Linked DNA regions of Callithrix jacchus. The protein of the gene in region 1 interacts with the protein of each later gene in a pairwise test. Links are inferred from orthologs where the notes say so. Each region holds a gene or a part of one and is shown in the gene's direction. Other genes may lie near its edges.

The links. The genes of interacting proteins can lie anywhere in the genome.
Region 2: the proteins of TK1 (region 1) and APLP1 interact in a two-hybrid assay, tested with the Homo sapiens proteins (2 studies listed by BioGRID and IntAct). The link is inferred for Callithrix jacchus from reciprocal best matches to the Homo sapiens genes TK1 and APLP1.

Annotation. Positions count from the first base shown.
Region 1 is NC_133506.1:133,956,468-133,966,732, reverse strand, and holds the end of TK1 (thymidine kinase, cytosolic), read left to right. Parts: intron 1-1,164; coding exon 1,165-1,258; intron 1,259-6,844; coding exon 6,845-6,934; intron 6,935-7,272; coding exon 7,273-7,392; intron 7,393-7,491; coding exon 7,492-7,683; 3' UTR 7,684-8,316; downstream 8,317-10,265. UniProt on the Homo sapiens protein: Cell-cycle-regulated enzyme of importance in nucleotide metabolism. Catalyzes the first enzymatic step in the salvage pathway converting thymidine into thymidine monophosphate.
Region 2 is NC_133523.1:32,051,825-32,062,089, forward strand, and holds part of APLP1 (amyloid beta precursor like protein 1), read left to right. Parts: intron 1-555; coding exon 556-699; intron 700-1,789; coding exon 1,790-1,922; intron 1,923-2,143; coding exon 2,144-2,256; intron 2,257-2,522; coding exon 2,523-2,656; intron 2,657-2,767; coding exon 2,768-2,952; intron 2,953-3,374; coding exon 3,375-3,505; intron 3,506-4,205; coding exon 4,206-4,280; intron 4,281-5,112; coding exon 5,113-5,271; intron 5,272-5,349; coding exon 5,350-5,478; intron 5,479-8,167; coding exon 8,168-8,267; intron 8,268-9,365; coding exon 9,366-9,473; intron 9,474-9,728; coding exon 9,729-9,755; intron 9,756-10,123; coding exon 10,124-10,194; intron 10,195-10,265. UniProt on the Homo sapiens protein: May play a role in postsynaptic function. The C-terminal gamma-secretase processed fragment, ALID1, activates transcription activation through APBB1 (Fe65) binding. Couples to JIP signal transduction through C-terminal binding.

The DNA of each region.
Region 1 (10,265 bases):
TGAAGACATTTCTAGTTGTTGCAACTGGAGAGGGGAGGGGATGCTTCTGGACTTTAATGTGTAAAGGTCAGGGACGCTGCTGCTGAGGGTCCTACAGTGCTGGGATTACAGGCGTGAGCCATAGCACCCGGCCCGTTTGTTTGTTTTTGAGACAGGGTCTCCATATGTCACCCAGGCTGGAGTGCAATGGCTCAATCCTAGCTCACTGTTATGTAACCCTAAACCCTTCACCTCAAGTGATCCTCCCACCTCAGTGCCCTGAGTAGGTGGGACTACAGGTGCATACCACCGTGCCCAGCTAATTTTTAGATTTTTGTCAGTGTCTTGCTGTGTTACCCAGCCTGGTCTTGAATTCCTGATTTAAGGTGATCCTCCCATCTTGGCCTCCCCAAAGTGCTAAGATTACAGGCATGAGCTGCTGTGCCTGCCCAGAATACAGATGTTAAAAATTTATATTTTGTAACACAGTTGATATAAGGACAAGTATAACCCAGGCCCAGTTCTAGTTATTCATTCTGAATTTTAAAAGGAAACATTTGGCTGGCCCCTAATGGTATTATGGGCTTGGTACCTGATGAAGTTGGCCTTATCTGCCCCCAGCTCCTCAACAGTGGAAGAGTTTCTAGTCTCATTGAGCTTTGTATTGGACACTACTAATTTCTAATCCAAAGCATCAAGTGAACTGGCTTCTATAAATAACTGGTTTTCTTCTTTGGGAGGCCGAGGTGGGCGGATCAAATAAAGTTAGGAGTTTGAGACCAGCCTGGGCGACATGGTGAAACCCCTTCACTAAGAAAAATATAAAAATTAGCTGGGCATGGTGGCATGTGCCTGTAGTCCCAGCTACTCCTGAGGCTGCGGCGGGAGAATTGCTTGAACTCCTTGAGAACTGGGAGGTGGAGATTGCAGCAAGCTGAGATGGTACCACTGCACTCCAGCCTGAGCAACAAAGCAAGACTCTGTCTCAAAAAAATTAATTAGTTAATTAAATAACTGGTTTTCTGGACAAGGGCCTTTCCCATAGGTTGTGGGAAAATCCCTGCTGGGTGAACACTGATCCTGCTTTGCATGCTGCAGGTGGTTGTGACAGGAGCCGTTCCCTGGCCCCTGCATCCTGGCTCTGGCCTGCCTGGCTTCGCTCATGCTCTGGCTTTCTCTTCCCAGGAACACCATGGAGGCACTGCCTGCCTGCCTGCTCCGAGACGTGGCCCAGGAGGCCCTGGGAGTGGCTGTCATAGGCATTGATGAGGGGCAGTTTGTAAGTTGGCTTGTCCTGGTGTCACTCTTCCTGCTAGCTCCTGCTCTGTCTTCCATTTTTCCCCACTGGTTTGGAGATTGTCTGATCTGTTAGTAAAATAACAAGGTTAAATAGCTATAACTAGTGTTGGAATACTCTCTGAAGGCCCCTTTCTAGTTTCCCTGTCATAGTCATGTAGGTTTCATTTTGCCTTTTTTTTTTTTTTTTTTGAGATGGAATTTTGCTCTCGTTGCCCAGGCTGGAGTACAATGGCGCAATCTCATTTCACCACAACCTTCAGCTCCCCGATCAAGCGATTCTCCTGCCTCAGCCTCCCATGTAGCTGGGATTACAGGCATGCACTACCACATCTGGCTAATCTTGTATTTTTAGTAAAGACAGGGTTTCTCTATGTTGGCCAGGCTGGTCTTGAACTCCCAACCTCAGGTGATCTGCCCACCTCAGCCTCCCAAAGTGCTGGGATTACAGGTGTGAGCTAGTGTGCCCAGCCTGTGTGTGTGTGTGTGTGTGTGTGTGTGTGTGATGGAGTCTTGCTCTGTCACCCATGCTGGAGTGTAGATACATGATCTCGACTCACAGCAACCTCTACCTCCTGAGTTCAAGCAATTCTTTTTTTTTTTTTTGAGTTCAAGCAATTCTCCTGCCTCAGCCTCCTGAGTGGCTGGGATCACAGGCATGCACCAGCACACCTGGCTAATTTTTGTTTTATTTATTTATTTATTTATGAGAAGGGGTTTCACCATGTTGGCTAGGATGGTCTTGATCTCTTGACCTCGTGATCTGCCCGCCTTGGCCTCCCAAAGTGCGGGGATTATAGGCATGAGCCACTGTGCGCAGCCCAATTTTTTTATTTTTAGTAGATGGGGTTTTACATGTTGGCCAGGCTGGTCTGTTATTTCCGACCTCAGGTGATCCACCTGCCTTGGCCTCCCAAATTGGTGGGATTACATCCTTGATCTTGTTGCTCTGAAAAGTAGTAGTGCTGGTTGTTGTGTTTTTGCTTAGGGGAAGGCCACCAACTGTCTAATGTTTGGTTACCTCTGGCCAGGCATTCTGTCTGTTCTCACTCAGCACAGTGTGTCCAGGGGAAGCTTTGTTTTCATTTATCCAGCTTTATAACTGGTATGCCTTGTCACTTCTGGGGAAGAAATGAAGCCGTTATCACTTCAGGTGTTTCTCTCCTTATCCCTCTCTGAGGTATTCTGGGTTCCATCTTCCAAAGTGTGTTTTGTTTCAATGACTTTATACCTGCTGCTCTAATTCAGAATCCTCCATTTTGTTTGACAAGTTACCGTGGGGTTATGTTTAAGTTTATGCTGTTCCTTCCATTGTGTTTCCAAAAATCTTTCCTTAGACTTTTCCAGATTTTTCTGTTTCCTCAGAACACATTCTCCGGTTGTTTCTGGGTTAGTTTCTGTTATCTTAGTTTTCCTTCCTCTACTTTGGAGTTTTTTAAAATTGTTGTTAGTTTATCACAAATGAATCAAACTGAAACTCACTTCCCAAGGGACTTAGCAGACTTAACCCCTTAGGTACTTTTAGGGCTGCCTCTAAGTGTACAGTGTGATGGTTTAATATAAACACAATAGGAATTTGTTTCTTGCTTACAGACCCCTACATGGTTCCAGCTGATGGGGAGGCTGCCCAGAGGTGGCTTAGTTCGCCCTTGCTGGCTGCATACAGAAGCGGAAGAGGAGAGACATGGCGGAGCCCCTGGGTGTGATGTTTTCATGGGCCAGGCTAGAAGTTGCAAATGTCACCTCTGCTGATCTTTCAAAGATTAGAATCTGGGCATAGGGCACAGGGTCACCTTTAGGTTTAGTCTAGTACACCTAGTCTAGTTTTTTTTTTTTTTTTGAAACAGTCTTGCTTTGTGGCCCAGGCTGGAGTGCAGTGGCACGATCTCAGCTCACTACAACCTCTGCCTCCCAGGTTCAAGTGATTCTCCCACCTCAGCCTCCCAAGTAGCTGGGATTACAGGCTCCTGCCACTACGCGCAGCTATTTTTTTGTATTTTTAGTAGAGATGGGGTTTTGCTGTTTGGGCAGCCTGGTCTTGAATTCCTGACCTCAGGTGATACGCTTGCCTTGGCCTCCCAAAGTGCTAGGATTATAGGCGGGAGCCACCGCGCCTGGCCACACTTAGTCTATTTTTATACCCTTGACTGTATACTTAGTCTAGTTCTATACCTGGAGGAAGAATAAATGGGTTTGTTTGCTGAGCGGTGGTTCAAGATCTCTACCCATCCTGCCTCCCAGCATAGAGCCAGGCTGCTCCGGCTGGAAAACCCTGTCCGAACATCCCAGGGACTGTCCCCCCAGCTGGGCAGTCCTGTGTTCCTGGTTCTGCTCTTGCCCAGCATTCTCTAAATGTCACAGCCCCAAATTTCATTCTCATGGGGAGGCTGACTGGTCCCTTACCCTGTGGAGTTGGACTCCAAGCTGTCGGTGTCCGCTGTGGGTTCCAGATCACCCAGTAGCTGACAACTGCTCCCCGCTTGGGTGTGCCCATTCCATTTCTGACCTTCAGAGGTGCGCTTCTGGGCACCCCCATACCTCTGCATCCACAGAGATGTTGTTGCCGCCGTGTGGTTGAGAGACTCCAGGCGAGAAGGTGGGCCCAGGCTGGGAACAGGGCTGCAATTTTTTTCTTTTGCTCCCAAACTGTGGCCTTGGAATGCATCCAGGGATTCTGCATCAGCTTTGGGGGCATGGCCCTCTCAGAACAAGGAAGAGCAAGGAAGCTTTAGCTTTGGCGAGGCTCTCCCTGCCTTCAGACCTGCCACTGTGAGTTGCTCAAGAGCTCTGCTCTGGCTCTGCATAAACCTTGTTGACAGATGCTGACCCAGACCCCCCCCAGGCAGAAACCTTTCCCTTCTCCTTCCTCCTTCCGTAACATCCAGGAGCCAGCATATTAAGTCCTGTCCCGTTCCAGCCTGAAGGAGAGATTTCTCAGTCTACTTCCTCCCTGGCCCACAAGTAAAACTTTAGTTCATTCAGGGAGTGCTTATTACACCCCATATCCAGACATCAGCCTTGTGCCATTCTGTGTGCCCTTGTTCCTTTCTAGAAGTTTAGCATCTTCCCACTGCAAGCATTTCTAGATGGAGGAGAGGGGTTCCTAGTATGGGGACCCACAGAAGGACTGTCCTTCCCTCCTTCATTGTCTACGTGGACAGTGGAAGAAGCCCAGCCTGACCTGCCTTGTTCCTGTTTTCTGGGTCAGCAGGGAAAGCCTTTCATAGAGTAGCCACCATGCCATCCTGAGGAAGGCCCTAGGTCAGAAGCTTCTGTGCTTCTTTGTATGCCGGGTGAGGCACAGTGGCGCTCACACTGCTTTGTAGAAATTGTTGGCATGCAAGAGAGAGTCATGTGGAGACCCCAAAGCCACTAGCTGGGCGTGCTGTGCTTCAGATGCTGGTGGTGGGTGAGCACCCTGGCCCCAGCACCTCCCCGATGCGTTCATCAACAGCTGTACAGTGTCTGGCGGGCCTGCAGGGTTGCTTGGCAATAGTGGAAGCTCTGATTTTTTTAAACTTTTTTTTCTGGCTGGGCACAGTGGCTCACACCTATAATCCTAGCGTTTTCGAAGGCCAAGGCGGGCGGATCACTTGAGGTCAGGAGTTTGAGACCGGCCAGGCCAACATAGTAAAATCCCGTCTCTACTGAAAATACAAAAATTAGCCGGATGTGGTGGCACACACCTATTATTCCAGCTACTTTGGAGGCTGAGGCAAAATCATCACTTGAACCCGGGAGGCAGAGGTTGTGGTGAGCCAAGATCATGCCACTGCACTCCAGCCTGGGTGACAGAGTGACTCTGTCTCAAAAACAAACAAACAAAAAAAACCAAAAAACGGTTTTTTGTGTTTTCTGTTCTACTAACACAAGTAATACAGGTTGAATGTTCCTTATCGTAAATGCCTGGGACCAGAAGTGTTTGGATTTCTGATTTTTTCAGATTTTGGAATATTTGCATATATATAATATAATGAGACCTTGGGAATGAGTCCCAACTGTAAATACAAGATCCGATATGTTTATAGATGCCTTATCCACATAGCCTGGGAGTGATTTTATATGCTATCTGGTAATTTGGGCATGAGCCAGGGTTTTGACTGTGAGCTGTCCCATAAGGTCAGGTGTGAAATTTTCCACTTGTGGTATGCACTCAAAAAGTTTCAGGTTTTGGAGCCTTTTGGATTAGAGACTTCGTAAGTTTAATCTGGAAAAACTTAAGAGTCTGGCACAGTGGCTCATGCCTGTTATGCCAGCACTCTGGGAGGCCGAGGCACGCAAATTGCTTGAGACTAGGAGTTTGAGACCAGCCTGGGCAATATGGTGAAACCCTGCCTCTACCAAAAATACAAAAATTAGCCAGGAGTAGTGGCACATACCTGTAGTCCCAGCTAGTTGGGAGGCTGAGGTGGGAGCATCGGCTGAGCCTGTAGGTCCAGGCTGTGAGTCATGGTTGAGCCACTGCCCTCCAGCCTGGGCAATGGGGAGCAAGACTGGGAGCTGCCTTTTTGTGACATGTGATGAATCCTCAGAGAAAAAGAGAGAACACGTGCATGGTGGGGCAGGGCCCAGCGTGCTGGAGTCTCTGGGTTTTCTTTCTAGAGGCCCCTGCAGTCTGCTGAGCGCAGTCGGTTACATCAGGCTTCACCTGGATCCCACTGGAATTTTTCCAGTTATCCCCTAGTCCTCGCCTTGCTAAGCCCTAATGTCTTAATAACCTCAAACCTCAGTACCTGGGCTGAGGAAAGCCTGAGGGGCTCCTGGAGAGAGACCTGTGCCCAAGGACAGGAACATCCCCACTTCAGCCAACCCAAAGGCCAGTCTGGACATGTGAACTCAACCAGCTAAAAGCAATATGACTGATTGATGAGAATCACCAAAGCACTTGCTAGAGTTTCAGCTTCTCCCTGGGCCAAAGTGAAATTTGATGTAGGCAGTAAATGTGCTCTGTGCCGGCCCTGTATTTAGAAGGCTGTGCTGTGTCATCCTGCTCTGTAAATGGCCAGGAGGACCCCCACACCTTCTCAAGGCACATTACCTGTCTAAAAAGGCGAGGGGGCAAGAGCACAAAATGCCCAGCTACTCACTGAAGTGCATGTGTATAACTTAGTGCCTTCTGTCCTTACACAATAGGACCTTTCTTGCTATCGCTCAGTGAAGAGGAAACAGGTTCAGAGAAGTTAACTCACTGCCAAGGTCACACAGATAATGGTGTCCGCTCGGAATAGCGGTGTCCGAGCCCCAGGCAGCAGATGTCTGGCCCCAGCCTTTGGCCGCTGCAGTGTTAAACAGCACAGCAGGTGTGGAAGTCTGATGCTGAGTCCTGGGTACCTGGACTCGGAGCAGAAGCTGGCTGCAGAGGGAAGAGGCTGGGCAGTTGTGGATGTGCCTGTCATCTGCTGGGAGGGCACCCATGGACAGTCCCCAGCCTGAGGAACCTCATGGAAGAGTTAGAGTTGCTCCAGGCTGAATGGCGGGAGTTGTCTGATCTGGCAGCGTCTCTGCTGGGACTTCAGGGAGCTGCTGCTAGGGTGGAAACTCTCACGCTTTCTCCACCTTCCCTTTCCAGTTCCCTGACATCGTGGAGTTCTGTGAGGCCATGGCCAACGCCGGGAAGACAGTAATTGTGGCTGCACTGGACGGGACCTTCCAGAGGAAGGTAAGGTGTCTGATCCAGGTCTGGAGCGTGATTCCAGGAGGGGAGGGGGCTTCTGGGTGGCCAGGGCCCAGCCACTGTAGGGGCACAGTTGAGCTGCTCAGACCAGTCCTTGCCTGAGCCTAGGGACTCCCTGGTCTATGCAGACCAGGTGCCATCTGTTGCGGCAGGTGGTTTGAATTGGCAAGGAGACAAAGCCAGGCATGGTGCTCTGGGGGTTGGGGGAGGACTGAGGTCAGAGCAAACTTTCCTGGCTTCAGTGCTTATGAATCAAAGGGTTTAAAAGAAAACCCCGCCTGGGAAGGTAGCCGAGCACCCACTGTCTTTCCATGGGAGTGCAGGCATTTGGGACCATCCTGAACCTGGTGCCGCTGGCCGAGAGCGTGGTGAAGCTGACCGCAGTATGCATGGAGTGCTTCCGGGAAGCCGCCTACACCAAGAGGCTTGGCACCGAAAAGGAGGTACCTCCACCTGTCTTCCCTGCGGGCTGGTGGGGTGGGGGCGTGGCTCTGTCTCCTTCCTGTCCCGGCCCTTCACCCATCCCCTGTCCCTGCGGCTAGGTCGAAGTGATTGGAGGAGCAGACAAGTATCACTCTGTGTGTCGCCTCTGCTACTTCAAGAAGGCCTCAGGCCAGCCTGCCGGGCTGGACAACAAAGAGAACTGCCCCGTGCCAGGAAAGCCAGGGGAGGCTGCGGCTGCCAGGAAGCTCTTTGCCCCGCAGCAGATTCTGCAATGTAGCTCCACCAACTGAGGGGCCTGAAAGGGCTGCTCACTCTCTTCCAGCCGCTGCCGCCTAGCGGACACTGCTCTCCACGCTACCTGCCTGCTCCAGGAGGGTGACCACATCTTGGCCTTTGGGAAGTCTCCTTTGTGCAGCTGCCCCACCTGCCACGTGCTCTCTCCTCTCCTGCCCACCGGCCTGCTTAGCTTCCCTCTTGGCTGCTGGGACGGTCGCCCAGGCTGGACCTGGCCCTGCCTGGTGACCTAGGATCTGGCATACTCCCCCTGCTTGGGGTGAGGGACAGCCACACACTGTTGACATCAGCCTGCTTCTTCCCCTCTGGCTTTCACTGCTGAGTTTCTGTTCTCCCTGGGAAGCCTGCACCAGCATCTTTAAGCCTTGGGCCATAGAGGCTTAGGCCCCTCTGCCTGGGATAGGCCCCTGCCCTCCCTGAGGATGGCCTGGACTCATGCCCTCTTGCTTCCTTTTGGGCTCAAAGCCCCTCCTACCTCTGGTGATGGTTTCCACAGGAACGACAGCATCTTTCACATGGGTGGCACCAGCCTTGCTGGGACTTGGATTGTAGGTGCTTGTCTCTTCGTGGGAAGAGGGCAGGGTCAACGTCTCTGCTGTAGTGTATGAAATTAACTAACTTAAAATTCACTGGTTGGTAGACGCTCATTTCTCTTTAAGCTGGGTTTCCCCGGGTCTCATGGACAGTGCCAACTGATGTGGGTGGGGATTTTCTTCCAGGTCTTTGTTTTGTTTTGAGATAGGTTCTCTGTCACCCAGGCTGGAGTACAGTGGTGCAGTCTCGGCTCACTGCAGCCTCTGCTTTCCCAGTTCAAGTGATTCTCCCCACTCAGCCTCCCTAGTAGGCAGGATTACACGTGTGTGCCACCACACCTGGTGAATTTCTGTATTTTCAGTAGAGACGGGGTTTCACCATGTTGACCAAGCTGGTCTTGAACTTCTGATCTCAAGTGATCTGCCTGTCTCAGCTTCCCAAAGTGCTGGTATTACAGGCGTGAGGCACCGGGCCTGGCCCCCAGATCTTTCTGTAGTAATACTGATCTCATAACCACAGCCGGTTAACTGAGAAATGATCGTGGGGCGTGTCCTAAGGGGAACATCATCTGCCTTCCTGTCTGGGCCAGTGTCAGGACAAAAATGGGTGCACAGGGGAGCCCAGGGCCCAGCTGGAAGGAAGGATGGGGGCGCATACCTGCCCGCTGGGACTTCCAGGTCAGTTTTTGTTTGTGAAACACACGCTGGGTAGTTCAGGAATCAAGACACCTCTCAGCTGTGCCTCAGAGATGGGCTGTTGGCAGCTCACTTGGACTCAGGCATTGCTGGGGTGAGGTGTGCCCTAGGCAGGCAGGGTCACCGCTGCCAGGGCCTCCCCAGCCTCCTCCTCCCCTTTGCTAGTGATGTGTCCCAAGCCAAAGCCATCGGGTGAGGTTGGGAGCAGTGCTGTTACTTTGTATTGGGGATTTTTAAACATTCGGGACTTGCCATTGACAACTCTGTCATTGCTCAAAAGAGGAAGCCAGGAGTTGCTTTAGGGCCCTGACCTCTTCCAGAGATGGGTCTTATCTCCAAGGGGCGGCTGGAAGGCCAAGCCCACTCCCTGCTGTGTCCCAGGAAGGGTCCAGAGGTGCTGAGCCCTGGAGGAAGGCAGAAATGTGGCTTACCCATGGTACTCCTCTTTCAGTGCTAAGAAAGGGCTGAGAGGGAAGGGGCATTCAGTGGGCAACTCCCAGGTACCCCCACCCCAACACTAGGAAGGGAACAGCAGGACCCTGGCACCGAAGGCCAGAAAAATCTTGTAAACAAGATGAGCACAGTTGCTATTTTAAGATCTGGATGAAAGGCTTGTGCGGAATGCGACCCCAGATGGAAAGGGGGCCAGCCAGGCAAGCTGGAGGGGGTGTACTGCCACTGCCTTGTGTAAAACACAAGTTTCAGAAAGCCAGCCCTTAAGGGTGTACCCAGAGTGGAGTCCCTTCCTCCGACCCCTAGGCTCTGGCTCAACCAATGGCAATGGAGACTGAGTGAGAAAACATTTATTCCTTCTCCAAACAGCATCCCAGGGCCGGGCGTCACCCCCAAGGCTTTATAATACATTCGGCACAGAGTGGGAGCCATGGGGCATGGGACACCCCTGCCCTCCCCATGCTTCCTAAGTAACAACTGCAGAATATTTACATAAAGCTGGGTGTTGTCAGGCAAAGCCCTTCCCTGCTGCCGGGGTGGGAGCAAGGAGGAAGTGCTGTGGGCACCAGCCCTGCCCCCACACCATGGGGGCCAGAGGCCACTGGCCCAGGGTGGTGGCCCCCAGATCATACAGCAGTAGGCCTAGTGGGAGCAAACCTGAGTGAGGACACAGGAGCCTGGTCCAACCCCGATGCACAGGGTAGGTATAAGGCCCCCCAAGAGTCTTTGGCAGAGAACACAGATAACAGTGGCTCCCACAGCCTGACCTGGGCTGGGGGAAAGCTGAGGCACTGGTAAGTAGCATGTGGGTGCCTGCTGGCTTCTAGCCACTCCAGGCAGGGCTGGGGTCATTAAAAGCAAGGAGAAACACTAGCTAAAAACCCTTTCCTAAAAGT
Region 2 (10,265 bases), on another chromosome or scaffold:
CCAAAAATCCAGACCCCTTGTATCCTCTGAACCCATATGGGGGCCCTCGCAGCCTCCCAGGACCCAGGAGTCCAGTCCTCCAGTCACCACCCATCCCAACCAGATGTAGCTCCCCAGTCCTCAAGGACCTGGTGTCCAGGACTGCAGGCCCCTGAAGCCAGGCCTTGTCAGCTTTGCACCCTGCAACCGGAGCCTGAGCAGGGGATGGAGGGAGGAGGGGCCAGAACGCCTGGGTTCTGGCCTCCTCCTCCGCGATTCAGGTTTAACCCCTTCGGGCTCCAGCGCGACTGCGCTGGGGTGGGGGCGGAGTCTGTCTCCGCGGCAACAAGGCCGAGAGAATCCCGGAGGACCCGGGTAGCCATAGCAACGGGAGAGCTGGGGCGCCCCCTCCCTACGGGAGCTGTTTCCCAGGGAACGGTGCCTCCATGGAGGCGGGTGTGCGGTGCTTGGGGGAGGTGGCTGGTGCTGGAGGTCTCGGTCCTAGGGAGCAAAGAACCAGAGGACCCTCTTACCAACGTCCCCCGGGCCCTCACTGTCCCCTCCACTTCCATCCAGGCCCCGGGGTCGGCCCAGGTGGCCGGACTATGCGGACGCCCAACCCTTCACCGGGACCTGCGCACCGGCCGCTGGGAACCAGACCCACAGCGTTCTCGACGCTGTCTCCGGGACCCGCAGCGCGTGCTGGAGTACTGCAGACAGGTGGGCGGGGCTGAGCGGGAGGAGCAGGGCTATCGGAAAGCGGGCCCCAAACGGGGCGGGGCCGCCTATAGAAAGCTAGACTTGCAAAAGGCGTGGTCCAAGGTGCTGCACGATCTAAGGCGTGGAGGCTGGGGGGCGTGGCCAATAGAGGCTCAGCTACGCCAGGGCAGGGAACCTGTTTTGAGATACTAAGTCAGGAAAGGAGGAGAACCGCGAGATGGCTAGAGAAGTGGGGTTTAGCAATCTGGTGGTCTTCGTAAAGAGTAGAGGTGTAGGGCGGAGTGGCGAAAGGAGTGGCGGAGCTAAGAGAAAGAGTCCTTAAAGATCAACAAGAAGGGGAAAGAAAAGAGGTGGAGCCCAATGAGAGCGCGGAGAGCTGGGAGGCGTGGCCATGAAAAGCCTCGACTTTGTAAAGGGAAGAGTTTTGGAGAGGCGGAACAGATAAAAAGAGGGGCCCAAAAGAGGGTGAGACCTTTGGGGGAGACGAACCTGACTGCGGGGAGGAGTGACCAGAGAGGTGGGCTTAGATCGACCTTCGGAAAGAAACAGCACAGGAAAAGGGATGGGGCTTAAAGATGACGGGACTTTCAAGGGAAAACTGCTAGTGGGCGTGGCCAATGGGCACGAGGGGCTTGGCTATCTAAGGCTGGTGCTATGGAGAGGCAGGGCCTAGGGAGGCGAAGTTCTCATGAATATTATAGCCTTGAAAAGGGACCTGGCCAGGCGCGGTGGCTCACTCCTGTAATCGCAGCGCTTTGGAAGGCTGAGGCGGGCGGATCACCTGAGGTCAGGAGTTTGAGAACAGCCTGGCCAACATGGAGAAAACTCATCTCTACTAAAAATGCAAAAATTTGCCGGGCATGGTGGTGCTTGCCTGTAATCCCAGCTACGCCGGAGGCTGAGGCAGGAGAATCGCTTGAACCTGGGAGGTGGAAGTTGCAGTGAGCCGAGATCACACCATTGCACTCCAACCTGGGTGACAAAAGCAAAAACTCCCTCTCAAAAAAAAAAAAAAAGGACCTGGCCAGTGGAGAGGGGTGCCTGGCAGGGGCGGGGCAGGGGGCTGATTGTTCCCACCTGATCCCCCCAGATGTACCCGGAGCTGCAGATTGCACGTGTGGAGCAGGCTACTCAGGCCATTCCCATGGAGCACTGGTGCGGGGGTGCCCGGAGCGGCCACTGCGCCCACCCCCACCACCAGGTTGTACCCTTCCGCTGCCTGCGTGAGTCCATGTGGCTAGGGGTTGGGGTGGGCCGGGGTACACTGAGATGGGAGTTTCCGAGAGGCTAGGTTCTGAGCCCCTCTCTCAGGCCCACATTAAGGGGCTGGGTGCTTGTGTCCTAAGTGGGGCAGAGAAGCCTCTGAGTATAAAATTTCTGGATTCTGAGGAGGGTGGGGTTGGTGGCTGTGGGAGGGTCTCACCCTGGTGTGTCATGCTTCCAGCTGGTGAATTTGTGAGCGAGGCTCTGCTGGTGCCCGAAGGCTGCCGGTTCTTGCACCAGGAGCGCATGGACGAATGTGAGAGTTCAACACGGAGGCATCAGGAGGCACAGGAGGTCAGGACCTTGGCCCACCCATCCCCTCCCCGCTAGAACCCAGAAGCCCGGGCCCCTAACACCCTCCTCCACCAGAACCAAGGAGTCTGGGCCACCAGCATCCTCTTCCCACTGGGATCTAGGAATTTCATCCCCTCAACCCCTTCCTCCAGAACCAGGAATCCAGGCTCCCAGCCTCATCGACCCCCTAGATCCAGGCAGCCTGGCTCCCCATCTACACACCCCATACCCCACAATCCTGGCATCTGGGCCCACTCTTCCCACAGGCCTGCAGCTCCCAGGGCCTCATCCTGCATGGCTCAGGTATGCTTTTGCCCTGTGGCTCGGATCGGTTCCGTGGTGTGGAATATGTGTGCTGTCCCCCTCCAGGGACCCCTGACCCATCTGGGACAGCAGTTGGGTGAGTGGAAGGGACCCTCCATGCCCTTCCCAAGGTTCCTGAGGAAGGGGATGGCAGTCTGGGAGCCTGGGCCTGAGTTCTTACTGTCTGGGTCCTCTCCTGCTCCCTCAGTGACCCCTCTACCCGGTCCTGGCCCCCGGGGGGCAAAGCAGAGGGGGCTGAGGATGAGGAAGAGGAGGAATCCTTCCCACAGCCAGTAGATGATTACTTCGTGGAGCCTCCGCAGGCTGAAGAGGAAGAGGAGGAGGAAAGGGTGCCACCCCCAAGCTCCCATACCCTTGCAGTGGTCAGCAAAGGTGAGACAGTCTCTGAATCCCCAGGCTTTTCTGCCATGGAGGGAGAAAGATCTGGCAGAGTCTTGCTGGGGCGTGTCTTTGGGAGGGACCTATGGGGGAAAAACCCAACTGAGGGGAAAAGATGGGAGTAGCTTTGGATAAAACAGAGGAAGAAGGGCTAACCTGGGCGTACTTGGGAGTAGAGGGGCCATTGGGTAGGTCCTGAGGATCATTTCAGGAAAGCTTACAAGATGGTGTAAAAGATTCCTAAGCTTTGCAAGAACAGGCCCAGTCCAGAACTACATCTCCCAAACGCCAGGCAGCAGCAGTGGCCAAACTGGACACATGATGGTCTTCGGTGCACTCCAGGAAACGTGGTTCTAGGTAGAAAAGGTGACCTGGAGGTGGGCAGCAGACTGACCTCCTGATCCCTGGTCTTGTAGTCACTCCCACCCCGAGGCCCACAGACGGTGTGGATATTTACTTCGGCATGCCTGGGGAAATCAGCGAGCACGAGGGGTTCCTGAGGGCCAAGATGGACCTGGAGGAGCGTAGGATGCGCCAGATTAATGAGGTGATGATACCGGGGGACCCAGGACCCGCTACAGTACAGAGCTCCCTAAATATCAGGAAACTATTCCAGAACACATTGATAGCACTTGCAAAGGCTCCCTAAGCCCCTTCGACTGTGAGCCCTCAACATCACCCCCTAACATAGCCAGAAACCCATGGCCCATCTAGAATCCCACTGAGATGCCATCAGATTATATGGAGACTCTGGTCTATGGCACTCTTTCACTTTATTTTTTGTTTTGTTTTTGTTTTTTGAGTTGGAGTTTCACTCTTGTTGCCCAAGCTGGAGTGCAATGGCATGATCTCGGCTCACTGCAACCTTTGCCTCCTGGGTTCAAGTGATTCTCCTGCCTCAGCCTCCCAAGTAGCTGGGACTACAGGCGCCCACCACCATGCCCAGCTAGTTTTTGTATTTTTAGTAGAGACGGGGTTTCGCCATGTTGGCCAGGCTGGTTTTAAACTCCTGACTTCAGGAGATCCATCTGTCTTGGATGGGTCTCCCAAAGTGCTGGGATTACAGGCATGAGCCACCATGCCCAGCCTCTCTTTCACTTTAAACTCCTAGATCTTCCCTCTTGGGAACCCAAGAACAGTGAGACTTAAGGGATCTGGGGCCTCTAAAACTCTTCAAGAGGGGTTGGGGAACTCACCAGGTGGATCAGTGTGGATTCTGGGATCCTGAAGCCCCACTCCCCACGCAGGTGATGCGTGAATGGGCCATGGCCGACAACCAGTCCAAGAACCTACCTAAAGCTGACAGACAGGCCCTGAATGAGGTAGGACAACCCCAGGGGCTCCTACTCATGACTGTCCCCCACCTGGAGCACGCTCAGCTTCACGTGGTTCTGGCCATGCCCTGCCCATCCAGTTCCACCCCTTCCCACTTATCTCTGCCCTTCCTGGCCCCATGCCTACATGTGGCTCTGCCCCTCTTAAGCCACCATCTGACCTGACACTGCTCTCCTCCTCCAATTGGCCATGTTTGGCCCATCTGCACTTGACTTGCCTCTTGGGGCGGGCTCTGGAGTCCTGTCCCAAGCTGGGGCCCCTGCAGATACAGCCAGAGCCTTCTTGGTCTCTCTTTGATGTATTCATGTCTCTAACAGGCCCCACCCCTTCTGGCTCTGCCTACTTGTCTCACCTCTCTCAACCTGACCTACCCCATAGAGACCCCACTCATGTTAACCCCATTAGCTTTTGGTTCCACCCCATTGTGTCATTTAGGTACAGCCTGTCTACATGGGGCTCTGCCCTCTTAAGCCACCATCTGACCTGACACTGCTCTCCTCCTCCAATTGACCCTGACCAGCCCGGAGCCCTGCAAGGCTTTGTCCCTTTCACCTTAACATTGGCCAGTTCTGCTCCCAGATTGTTCCCACTCCATCTTACAGTTTACACCCTCAGATTGGCTCCCACTGGGCCTAGTCCCACCTCCACTCTACCTGGCCCTGGAGCCTACCTCTTCCAATCCGTACCCTTTGGTTCTGCCCAGGCCTGGACCCCTGGAACGACCCCCAACCCCATGTAACCCTGCCTTTCCAGGCTGTCTTTGACCAGCCTTTGATCCATCTTCTCCTCTCCTTACCCTGTGCCCTACCTGCTCCCCAGCACTTCCAGTCCATTCTGCAGACCCTGGAGGAGCAGGTGTCTGGTGAGCGACAGCGCCTGGTGGAGACTCATGCCACCCGTGTCATCGCCCTTATCAACGACCAGCGGCGGGCCGCCTTGGAGGGCTTCCTGGCAGCCCTGCAGGGAGATCCGCCTCAGGTGTGGGGACCGTGGGGGCAGAGAGCAGAGGGTGAGAAGGGTGAGGGCAGACCTGGGCAGCCTGTGTCCCTTCCTCAGGCGGAGCGCGTCCTGATGGCCCTGCGGCGCTACCTGCGTGCGGAACAGAAGGAGCAGAGGCACACGCTGCGCCACTACCAGCACGTGGCGGCCGTGGATCCAGAGAAGGCGCAGCAGATGCGCTTCCAGGTGCTCACATCCTTCCAGCTCCCGCACACGCAGCTATCCTCAGACCCCAGCACCTCAGGCTCTCTGCTTTTGTCCCTCAGACCCTCTTTCTGTCTCTTGGACCCCTTCCTATCCCCTGAATGTCACTTCTCTGCCTCTTCCCAGTCCCTCAGCTCTGCTTCCTGACCCCGAAACATGGCCCCTGACATGCTGTGCCTTTGACCCCTATTTCTTGTCGGCTGGATTCCTACTTTCCCCTTGATCCTACATTCTGTTCCTTGGATTTTCACTGCCTTTCCCAGAATCCTTTTTTTTGTTGTTATTGTTTGAGGCAGGGTCTCACTCTGTTGCCCGGGCTGGAGTGTAGTTCGCGATCTCTGTTCACTGCAACCTTCGCCTCTTAGGTTCAAGCAATTCTCCTGCTTCAGCCTCCCGAGTAGCTGGGATTGCAGGTGCTCACCACCACACCCAGCTAACTTTTGTATTGGGTTGGTGCAAAAGTTATTGCAGTTTTTGCTATTGAAAGTAATAGCAAAAACGGCAATAACTTTTTTTTTTTTTTTGAGACAGTCTCACTCTGTTGCCCAGGCTGGAATGCAATGGCTCAATCTCTGCTCACCTCAGCCTCTGCCTCTCGGGTTCAAGCAATTCTCCTGCCTCAGCCTCTCCAGTAGCTGAGATTACAAGAGCCCACTACCACACCCAGCTAATTTTTTTTTTGTTTTGAGACAAAGTCTTGCTGTGTTGCCCAGGCTGGAGTTCAGTGGTGGGATCTCAGCTCACTGCAACCTCCACCTCCCAGGTTCAAGTGATTCTCCTGCCTCAGCCTCCTGAGTAGCTGAGATTACAGGAGCATGCCACCACATCTGGCTGAGTTTTGTATTTTTAGTAGAACGGGGTTTCACCATGTTGGCCATGTTGGTCTCGAACCTGACCTCAGGTGATCCACCCTTAGCCTCCCAAAGTGCTAGGATTACAGGCATGAGCCACCACGCCTGGCCAGAAACCACAATAATTTCCAATCCAATATACTTAGTAGAGACAAGGTTTTGCCATGTTGCTCAGGCTGGTCTTGAACTCCTGTCTTACAGGTGATCCCACTGCCTCTGCCTCCCAAAGTGCTGGGATTACAGGCGTGAGCTACCGTGCCCAGCCAAGAATCCCTTTCTTGTTCCTTGAAGGAACTGTTCCTTGGTCTCCTTTCTCCATAACCCCACTTGTTTTCCCTGGGACCCCTGTTCTGTGTGCTCAGATTCAAATTCCCCTTTTCTGGATGTTTTCTTGCTCTTGAACTGCAAATCTTGCCTTGAACCACATAATTTCTATATGACCCTCCAATCCTCAATCCCTGTCTCTAGAATCCCCTCAAACCCCACTTTCTGTTCCTTGGACTTCATTCTTCAATTTCCTTCTCCTATGGCCCATTTCCTGACCCTGGTACCATACTTCCTGTCCTGTGGGGAATGCTCCCGTGTGAGACCCCTAGTAAATTGGGTCTCACCATGCGGTGAGTTTGAGCCCAGACACAGAGTCTCCAGTTGGAGGAAGTCGAGCTAAGGAAAGCAGGATCTAAAAGAGGCTTTAGGTTAAAGATCAACTACCGCAGACAATCACTAGATGGCCATGCAGTCTTGAGGTGCACCGTGACCTAATGGTTAGCAGTCATGTAGCAGTATGTTCACTTTTACAAGCATATTCTTCTTTGTTCTGTCAAGACAGTAGTGACTGACTGTAATAGTTTAAAAGAACCTTCTGTGTAGTGAGATAATGAATCTGATCGTTTATTAAGTAGATAACAAGACCCACCTGCTGGATTCCATTGTGTATCTGATCTTTCTACTGTAACCACCTGATTTATGTTGTAACTTGTAGTTTCACTGTAAAACTTTCTGTTCCCCTTGATCTCACGGAACAATGTATCTTTATCTTCCATGCACCCCGCTATCCAGGTTGGACCCTCTTGCTGGACAAGAGTTCCTGGCAGACGTGCCCCCCAAACATGGAAGATAAAGATGATAGACAGCCAGGGTCTGGAGGGTTGAGAAGTCAATGCTTCACCAACAACTTTATTTAGCTCAGGGTCAGTGTATATACATTCTTGAAACTTTGCTTACGTCAGTTCAATACATTGTTCCGTGAGATCAAGGGGAACAGAAAGTTTTACAGTGAAACTACAAGTTACAACATAAATCAGGTGGTTACAGTAGAAAGATCAGATACACAATGGAATCCAGCAGGTGGGTCTTGTTATCTACTTAATAAACGATCAGATTCATTATCTCGCTACACAGAAGTTTCTTTTAAACTATTACAGTCAGTCACTACTGTCTTGACAGAACAAAGAAGAATATGCTTGTAAAAGTGAACATACTGCTACACATGACTGCTAACCATTAGGTCACGGTGCACCTCAAGACTGCATGGCCATCTAGTGATTGTCTGCGGTAGTTGATCTTTAACCTAAAGCCTCTTTTAGATCCTGCTTTCCTTAGCTCGACTTCCTTCAACTGGAGACTCTTGTGTCTAGGCTCAAACTCACCACATGGTGAGACCCAATTTACTAGGGGTCTCACACGGGAGCGTTCCCCACACTGTCCCTTACATGTGATGCTTTTCCTCTGCTGCCATTGAATTCCTCCTTCATACTGCCTCAGTTTCCTCATCTCCAGCCTGCATCCCCAGCTCATCCTTCATGTCCACTCGCCCACAGGTGCAGACCCACCTTCAAGTGATTGAGGAGAGGGTGAATCAGAGCCTGGGCCTGCTTGATCAGCACCCCCACCTGGCTCAGGAGCTGCGGCCCCAGATCCGTGAGTGCCTATTATCCAGCCCCCATTCCCGATCTCTGAGGGCAGATCTTGATTCCTAAGTGTGGATCCCCCAGTTTCAGTTATTCCCCTGTAACAAACCAGCCCAGAACTTAGGAGAGAAAATCAACAACCATTTTTCTTTGTTCATGATTCTGCCAGTGGTCTGGGCTCAGTAGAGTGGTTCTTCTGGTGGTCTTGCCAGTGGTAAAGCATGCGGCTGTATTTAGCTAGCAGATCGTCTAGGGGCTGGGAGTCTAGCACAAATGGGCCTCTCTCTCTCTCCAAGGAGGCTCGGGGCCTCTCTTCTCCATGGAGCCTCTTCATATGGTCTCACCAGCAGCACAGCTGGAATTTCTACGTGGTGGTTCATGCTCTCTAAGACATCAAAGGGGAAGTTGCCAGGTCTTAAGGCTTGGGCCCACATTCTATTGGTTAAAGCAAGTTAAAAACCCAGTCCAGATTCAAGGGAAGGAACCTATATTCATACCAGAAAGTATGACCTACCACAGCCCCCAGATCTGTTGTGGTTTCCTCCTGGATATCTGACACATAACCCTGATTCTCCTAGTATTTAGAAAAGCTATAATCTTGAGCTGGGCATGGTGCTCCTGCCTATAATCCCAGCACTTTAGGAGGCCGAGGCAGGTGGATCACTTGAGGTTAGGAATTCGAGACCAGCCTGGCCAACGTGGTGAAACCCCCATCTCTACTAAAAATACAAAAAATAGCCAGGCATGGTGGCAGGCACCTGCAGTCCCAGCTACTCAGGAGGCTGAGGCAGGAGAATTGCTGGAACCCGGGAGGCAGAGGTTGCAGTGAGCTGAGATCACGCCATTGCACACCAGCCTGGGCAACAAGAACAAAACTCTGTCTCAAAAAAAAAAAAAGCTAGCCATAATCTTGAAACTTCAACCTCTATCCTTCCTGCCTGCTGTGCCTCCATTCAGCTCCCCACTTTCTCAGATCGCACTTCTGGCTACCCCACACTCGGGGCTGACTCTGCTGTCTGCATGATCTCCAAATTGCTCTATTGTTAGGGTGCCCTTCACTCACCCCAGTGCTCACAATCTCTGCCACCTTTCTGCATGTCCCCCTCAGAGGAACTCCTCCACTCTGAACACCTGGGTCCCAGTGAATTGGAAGCCCCTGCCCCTGGGGGCAGCAGTGAGGACAAGGGTGGGCTGCAGCCTCCAGATTCCAAGGATGGTGAGTGAGCCTTCACATAGATGCCCGCAGACATTGGGGAACAGGCCCCCAGCCTAATTTCTAATCCCCTACAGTCTGAGGGTGTCTTCACCATCACAGTGACTGGGAGAGGATGGGGAGGAACATCTATGGTTGTAGGGCCCCTGTAGGATTCCCAATCCTTCTTTTTGGTCCTGGGAGGATATTTCTCCACCTTTCTTTGCTGATACCTTTCTCTCTTCACTGTTCCACTGCCTTGCTTCCTCTGGCTGCCAGCAGACACCCCCATGACCCTTCCAAAAGGTGAGAGTCTCAGAGTTGACCCCAGCCTCCAAATCCCACTGAATCCCTGAACCCAGAATGGAACAGGATCCATCCACTGGGAATCCCACACCCCCTGGGGTAGAGTCCAGTGTACTTTCCAACACCCTCTCACTATAAACATAGTGAGATACTGTATCTACAAATAATTTAAAAGTTACCTGGGTGTGGTGGGGCATGTCTGTAGTCCCAGCTGCTCAGGAGGCTGACTTAGAAGGATCACTGGAGCCCAGGCAGTTGAGGCTCCAGTGAGCTGAGCTTGCGCCACTGCACTCCAGCCTGGGTGGCAGAGTGAGACTCTGTCTCAAAAAAGAAAAAAAAAAAGAATGAGATCAGACTGTGGGGGGTAGGGTCCACAGAACAAGATGCTGCATCCCCTGGGAAAGAGAATATGTCCCCGCTGGAACAGTATGAGCGAAAGGTAAGTTAGTCAGACCTGTGGGCTCCCAAAGGGGAAGATTGGGGTGTATGCGGCTGGGTCCGAGGGAGGAG